Linked DNA regions of Styela clava. The protein of the gene in region 2 interacts with the protein of the main gene of each other region in a pairwise test. Links are inferred from orthologs where the notes say so. Each region holds a gene or a part of one and is shown on either strand. Other genes may lie near its edges.

Evidence for each region.
Region 1: the proteins of actin-related protein 10-like (region 2) and transcription factor BTF3 homolog 4-like interact in a two-hybrid assay, tested with the Drosophila melanogaster proteins (2 studies listed by BioGRID). The link is inferred for Styela clava from reciprocal best matches to the Drosophila melanogaster genes Arp10 and bic.

Annotation. Positions count from the first base shown.
Region 1 is NC_135259.1:8,483,589-8,487,523, forward strand, and holds the start of transcription factor BTF3 homolog 4-like, read left to right. Parts: upstream 1-979; 5' UTR 980-1,085; coding exon 1,086-1,139; intron 1,140-1,770; coding exon 1,771-1,884; intron 1,885-2,559; coding exon 2,560-2,668; intron 2,669-3,331; coding exon 3,332-3,369; intron 3,370-3,688; coding exon 3,689-3,791; intron 3,792-3,935.
Region 2 is NC_135261.1:3,681,089-3,685,023, forward strand, and holds the start of actin-related protein 10-like, read right to left. Parts: upstream 2,926-3,935; 5' UTR 2,812-2,925; coding exon 2,691-2,811; intron 1-2,690.

The DNA.
Region 1 (3,935 bases), on a different chromosome or scaffold from region 2:
GCTGGGTTATGTATGAAGGAAAATACAAAGGTCTTCTGGGTTTTTAATATGAAGGGACAAAAGCTATGGTTAGTGATAAAAGAGTTAACTGAGGCCCAGGAATCGGATTATTGACTACTGTATTAGTAATTGCCAACGATTTTGAAAAGGTAAATCCAGCTGAAATAAAACTACATTGCATAATCACAGAATCTAGTACAGTTGATTGATCCTAGTATATAGGATACTGCAGCAAAATATGAATTCTACTATATCGAAGCATGGTTATAATATTATGGAATTCATCGGATTGCCAGGATGTTCGAATGTTGTACAAATTATGAAAGCTCGAGTCTTCTCTACGTGTTATATCACGGAATGCGTAGAATAAAAAATAGGGAGAAAAAAATAGGAATATCTTTATTGATATTATTATGACTCTTACATGATGAAAATAAATTTTGAATCTGAATCTGTGCTATTTATATGGCAGACCAGAAAGATTTGTTCATTCAACATAAATCGACATCATATACAGCATGTAAAATGTAATAAAAAATCGTATATTTTGTACATCCATTCACTACTCTCTGTTTCTATTGACATGTTTTAATACTTAATTTTATATATTTCACTTGCATTTTGGTTTATTTTCAAATTTAGATGTTATGATCTCCCTCTTCTGGCAACGCTTATATGCTGTTTCCAAGTAATGGCTATAACGAAAACAGCTGCAGCTTTGGTTGGTAGAATGTCACTCTATATACGGGAACAATCTCTCACAAACAAACAAAAAAACATATTTTATTTTTAATGCTTGAATAATTTTATTATAATTGTTATAGCATTAATTTCATCGAGGGCTAATTTTGTTTGGTAAGGCATCACAAAATTTCGACTCAAGTATGCTCCCAGTGGTCAAAAAACTCAACGTGATTTTCAGTTAGCAGCATGGCCCCTTTCGCAGTTTTTATGCTTTTCTTGTGTAGTTATATTTTTGTATTTGCCAACTTTGTTCTTCGATCAGGTGTCCGAGTTGCTTTTTAAAATAAATCCTTCTTTGTTTAGTAATTTTTATCCATCAATTTAAATAAATATAAATTAAAATGAATCCTGAACGACTGGCCCAACTTCAAAAAGACGTCAGAATTGGCGGAAAGGTGAGTTTCAGCTGTCCGCTCAGCTGTTCTAACCTGAAATGAGCTAGATTATATTAATGTGATTTAATCACACTAATCAAACAATTACAGGATTGGGTGGTAACAGTATACTGGTAGACTATAGCATATAGTCGGACAGTAGTGGACTGCAACAGCAAACAGTTTCTCAGTTCCAGCTGCTGCTACTTCTTTAGGCCTACTTTCTCAGTTTTTGCTGCCCTATTACAGTATTACATGTCTCGAAAATACATTTTTCAGGTTTTCCATTTGGCTCATTTTTGTTTTCCCACAAGGTATATCTGTATATCCTACTCATATTCGTGAGTATTATACGGAAAATAAGAAAGTGAGATATATTGCTGCACTCACAGACTCAGGCACTGGCATGTATAGACTTATGAGATTGTTTTGAGGCGTATGATTCTTGAAACCAGAATTCTACATCCATCGTTTTTTAATAATCTATGGAATCTCAAAATCTGTTGACTAAACAACAGCCTCTAATAAATTGTTATTCTAAATAGAATTAATTATTCCCCCCTTTTCAAAATATACTCGTACTATCCTTTATAGTGGCCTATTGACGATAATTCGTTGTTACCTCAATTTATTTTATCACATTCTTTTTCAGGGTTCGGCAAGGAGGAAACGAAAAGTTATTCATAAAACTGCAACAGCAGATGATAAAAAATTACAAGCAACACTGAAAAAATTGTCAGTAAACAGTATCCCAGGCATTGAAGAAGTATGTTCATCACTATATGGCTCCAAAATTTCTCGAGATTTGTAATTAGAAAATGTGTAATATGATGTTTGGAAAATTTCAGTCTCAGTACTAAACTGTGCAAAACACGGAAAACAAGTGTAAAACCAGACTTACTACTTACTGAGAATAGTGCAAAATACACAACTAGCTTCAAACACAGCAAAGCAAAATAGTTACACGATTTTGGCTCGGCGGTCTGGCACATCATGCTAAGTGTAAGAAATACGCTCGCCACCGCACCTCTGATTATCCTGCGTGGGTTCCCAGGTTTGAATATCATGCGGGAATAGTTATGTGTGAGAGGATTGCTGGACTCATCGCCGCCGTAGGGTGGTTCACGTAAGGTGACAGAATCACTGGTTGGTTACGGCTACCTCCACCATCAAGTCCATGCTTACAAAAACAAATAACTGGCTAACTAATCCCATAACAGACATTGACTGGTAGCCGGACGAGGTGCATGGTTTGCCATATGATTAAGCAGTCTCATCGACTTTCCTACCCACGGGATGAAATATGTAAATTCTGTTTTGTTGTTTTCTTCTGTTTGATAAGTTGTAAAACCGGAATATTATTTAGGTTATTGATTGTTTATCATGAATTGAAAATAGAAAAACACAAGATAATATTCATGTGTGTTTCATTAATTAACAGGTCAACATGATTAAGGATGATGGGACGGTTTTGCATTTCAACAATCCAAAAGTACAAGCAGCACCATCATCAAATATGTTTGCCATCACTGGACATGGAGAGAACAAAAGTGAGACATGTTTGTTTGCTTTATAATGTTGTCTTTGGAAGCAGTGTTTCAAATTACACTACAATTCCTAGATATTTTAAAGAGGGATGTGGCGTTCCATTTGTTATGTGAATTTTTTTTCATGAAAAAGTTATAGGCTACTTTGTGACTCTGTATACTGCATATCGATAATGTCATAATAATAAAAATAAAGTTATCAGCCAGTGCATCTAGAAAATGGCGTTTTGTATTTAAATTATAACTCTTAGTAACCAAATAGTGTTCAATGCAGGCATATTAAAATTGTGCAATGCTTCCCAATCGAGTTAGCGAGAAGTAACTGTAAATCCCTCACCCTGTTGTCTGTCAAAAGCATATTGAACTGACCCTCAAACTCTTCAGTGAACTTTATAATTGAACATTAGCAAGTAACGCGAAAGTACATTACCTAATTATTGTATGAGGCATACATTGCACGAGATGCCTAGGGGATTACTTTTCTTATCACAGATAAGCGGTTTTCTATCTAGATCTTTCTACTGATCAACTATTTTTATATAAAAATTAATTTTATATATGCTATAAATATTATGTGCATGAGGTGGCCTTGCTGATATTGCTCTTTAGATTCCCATGCAGATAATTATAAGTATAATTAATAAATTTTTCGTTTTCTTATTATAGAACTATCTGAGATGATACCAACAATTTTAAACCAACTGGTATGTTGTTTTATTCATTTTTATATATAATAAGTGCTCACAAATAGTACATTAGCAATTTGAAATTTCAGAATCATTTTTTCCTGAAAATGTTGAATACCAAATTTCATTCATTTAAGGTATAGAGATTTAGCTTTTCATTAACGATACTGTGTTGTGTGTAAATTTTCTAATAATTTATTTTTTCATACCTTTGCTGTGGTAATTTTTTATTATGCCTCAAAAAATACAGATCTTTTGTCTGTTCTAAGATTAATGCTTTTTATTAAGTATGAAATATAATATGATACAAACTTTAATGCTGCCAATTATCTCACAGGGATCTGAAAGTATGAATGCATTGAAAAAGAACGCTCCTATAAAACAGGACGGTACGGGTATGCCTGCTGTCCCGGAAGAGATTGATGAGGAAGACGTTCCAGGTATGAATTATTCCATTAAAAAATATGACTAAGCAGTCATAAGCAACCCTTCAATGTGATATCATCCATTTCCGTTTGTATACAGTTTTGAATCTTTTTTTGTATATTTATTTAATCCATCAGACTCTTTCCTTATAGGTCCTT
Region 2 (3,935 bases):
CTGTTAACTAGGGTGACCATACGTCCTCCTTTTTTGTTCAAAATTTTATGTCCCCCGAGGACGCTCTAAAACAGGGGTTCCCAAGCTTTTTTCAGGACGACCCCAAAGACAACTTTCAAGTGTCCAGTGCGACCTCAGGTCAATATATATATTTTTTATGAAACTTTAGTCGAGCTCCTTTCACTGGACTTTTGAGTTTGGTCATGTGGTGGTATTAAGTAAAATAAGCTAAAACCAAACAGTGATGTCACAATGAACATCTACCGGTACATTTTCTATAGCATAAGCATAGAGGGATGCCTATGGGCCTGGCCTGTTTTACAGTAAGCCATGGTAAACACTGCTAAATTTAACATGGTTTTTCAAATCTTAGATGTTTTGTACATCCATCCTCTACCATAGCTCAGCGACCCCATGACCTGTTTGCGACCCTACCTATTTATCATCCCGACCCAATTTGGGATCGCGACCCCTGGTTTGGGAATCCCTGCTCTAAAAGGTCAAAATGTCCTCCTTTTTCAAGGGAATTTAATATTTGAAATTCTCTTGTGACATAATCTACATTTTTTGATGGGTTAAGAAAATTTCAACGTAAATAGCAACTTGTAATTATCAATTCACATATGACAAGCAATACATTGCGTTGGGATACTATATAGGCCAGTCTGGATTTCATGGCCTTTTTGAACGAGAAATCAGGCGAGCAATCAGAAATTCCTGCGTGCAAAAAGACTGCGCTCGCGTGCAACAGAATTTGACTTCAGATTGCTCAATATATCTGTGTAAAATTATTGGACAAAAAATACGTTGAATCAGAGCAAAAAGGGACGTTTGACCTTTGACCCCCAAAATTTGTTTCTATACTTTGTCATTAATTTTGAGTGTTTGTGCGACTTTGGATACTGGTACTGTTCAGTACATCCTTGTAAAATTATTGAATAAAAATTTGTTGAATGTATGTATGTATGTAAAAAATACGTTGAATCAAAGCAAAAATGGGCATTTGACCCTTGACCCGTAAACATTATTTCTATACTTTGACATTAATGTTGGGAGTGTTTTTGCGTAAAATTATTGGATAAACAATACGCTGAATCAGAGCCGTAATTGACCAGCGTCGTCAAGGAGTCTGGCGATCTTTTTGCCCATAACTAGTCTCACGGGATTCCTTCAACACGATGGGCCTTACCGCCAAGCAATTATGAAATGTGGATTTCTTGCTTCGCATTTTTCGATCAGGCCAAATCTTGCAAGCTAGTATGTAGGGTGGCTTACCCACTTTGCGGCCAAGACCTATTTGCGACCATCAACTTCATCGATTAAATTAATGCCGAAAAAAATAACGAACCGAGACGATATTTCTCACGCGTTATCAGCCACTTATCCCTCGTAGCTCTGCGAAATTACATTAAAATGCGGCCACAAACAAAAAAGTTACGACCGAAAACCCGACCGAAGAAAAAAAACGGACCATTTTTCCATGTCGCCAACTACCCATTATCCCTTTGAAAAAGCTCGAAAATCCATACAAATTTAAGAGATAAAAAGATGAAACTTGGCAGGTGGGTAGAGTTCTGTTTCTTTTAACCATCTTTGAAGTTTCGCGTTTCTACATTCAAAGGAGGGGGAATAGGGGGGTGCGCATTTCCAATACGTCGATAATAGCATTGTCGACCAATTTGCGACCACCGTGTTTTTGTTCGTTTGATTGCTGTAATGCGGTGTTTTGTTTATAATTTGACGAGTTTTGTTCGAAATAACCTTGTTCTTAAAATATATGACAGTCAGAAATGCAATTAGAAGCTAATTTTTTTCACGCATGGCTGCGTATGCCCTAGTCTTGACGCAGCAGAAATGATGTTCAAGGCTTGAAATCCGTGGTCGCACACTGGTCGTTCGGTCGCAAATAGGTCTTCAGAGTGTCGTACTTTGGTGGTTTGTATAGCTTTAACCCCTGGTCGTAGAAAGTTAATTCGAGGTTTAGCGTGTAGAAGAAATGCCCATGCACCTACTGTGAAAAAATTAACAGGTTAGAAATATTGGTTTTTGTTTTATAGCGGTTTGAATGAAATTGTCCGCAGACTGGCTACACCACCCTAGTCAACAATTGTGGAGCTACAATTTGTTGACATCATTATATTACTGTAATATTGATTTAAAAACCATTTATACTGATTTTCATTGGTGAGCAATTGCAAATTTTGGGCGTGCAAAATTGAATTCGCTCGCGCCCTCGGTCGTGCACAATAGCGCTCAGGGTTTGGCAGACCTGCAAAAGTTAAGACTTTAAGAACCACTGCGCTCGGTTAAATGCATACTTTATCATGTAAAAATCGTTACTGCAATTAGCCTATCTTTTACGTCATATCATAAATGATTTACACCAAAATGTTTGACTCAAGTATCCATGCTAGATTTAGAAAAGATAAAACTGATAGCGAAGCGGAGTACGGTACCGGTACATTACGGTACTTGCGGCTATACCGGTACCTGGTACCCGTAGTTGCTCGTTGACAAGACAAGAATGCATTATTGCATTGTCGTCACATCGTCTATTGTCGCTTTTATTTTTAATACTAGAGAATTTAGGTAGATATATGACGTATACCGTATATCTCAGGCACAGGTGTACCAAACGATGTGTCCTCCTTTTAGGATTTGGAAATATGGCCACCCTACTGTTAACGTACCTTCGGTCTTTAGCGACGTGGGAATTATAGCTCTTGGAGATGACTCGCCAGCAAATCCAACTTTAGTATAAGCTTGTCCAATATCCAAAACAACGGCGAAAAGCGTCTGGTAAAGTGGCATTTTGCACAAACTGGAAAATACAAACGAAACAAACCTGCAAAACCCGAGCGACGGTACTGGAACGTGGAATGGTTTATGAGGGCGCTAACGAGCCTATTTTGGCTAAATTCAATGAACGAACAACATCTAATCAGGCTGCTGAATATCATTCAAACTACACCCAAATGCTAATAAGTCATTTTAGAATTTATTCCAAATGACAATATTACCCAAACCAAAATTTATTGACGCAATTTTTACACCATTATTCCAATAACAGATTATGATGCAATAATGTATTTACCATTGCCTGAATTATCTTTTCGTCCCTTCCCGCTTTGCGACCTCGACCATGCGTGTGGTTAGGTCGCCGCTGTAAGTTTGCCGTTTGAAACTCGTGTAGTTACGATATATAGCTCCAAAACTTTGAAAAGGAAAATGTACTCAACCATATGAAAGTCTAGTGTCGCATAAGTCGGAAGAAGTGCCGGAACCCAGCCTGAAACCGCAAGCTCAAAGTACCGGTGCTGTCCGCCATTGAAATGCGTTTTCCAGGATTGTGAAGCTAGGTATACTCATGGTAAGCAATATAGTTTCATTGTATACGGCGCTTTTGAAAAACTGAAATTAAGCATGTAATCGCAAGCTTGAAGTATCTGTGCTACTCGCCTGCGTGTTTTTGAAGAATATTTTCTCAGAGAAAGTTCACGAAAACTCCCTCAACGGGCGACCACTAAAATGCCAAAATCATTTGACACTATGATTCTTTAGTTCACAGTCAACCTTTTCAAAACTTTTCAAGATTGTACCAGCAGTTTTTCTTTTTATTAAGCGATATATTTTTATTCGATTTGTTATCGATGGTTTTAGCTGTTCATTAGGCAATGTGTTTATCTCGCACCATATAAGTAGCCTACCTAATTCAGTGGTTCCCAAACTTTTTTTTCATGACCCCATTTTTCATAAAATCAAAGACTACAGATATTCGCGACCTCACAACCAGAAACGTTCAGCAACTTTAAAAATCAGTATATTCAATTTAATTCGCTCAATGGGAACAATGTGGCAGTATATCTACTGCAAGGGTGACGTGGACGGTGGGAATATATGAAGGAGTCCGACAATGCGAGGACAAACGTGAAATC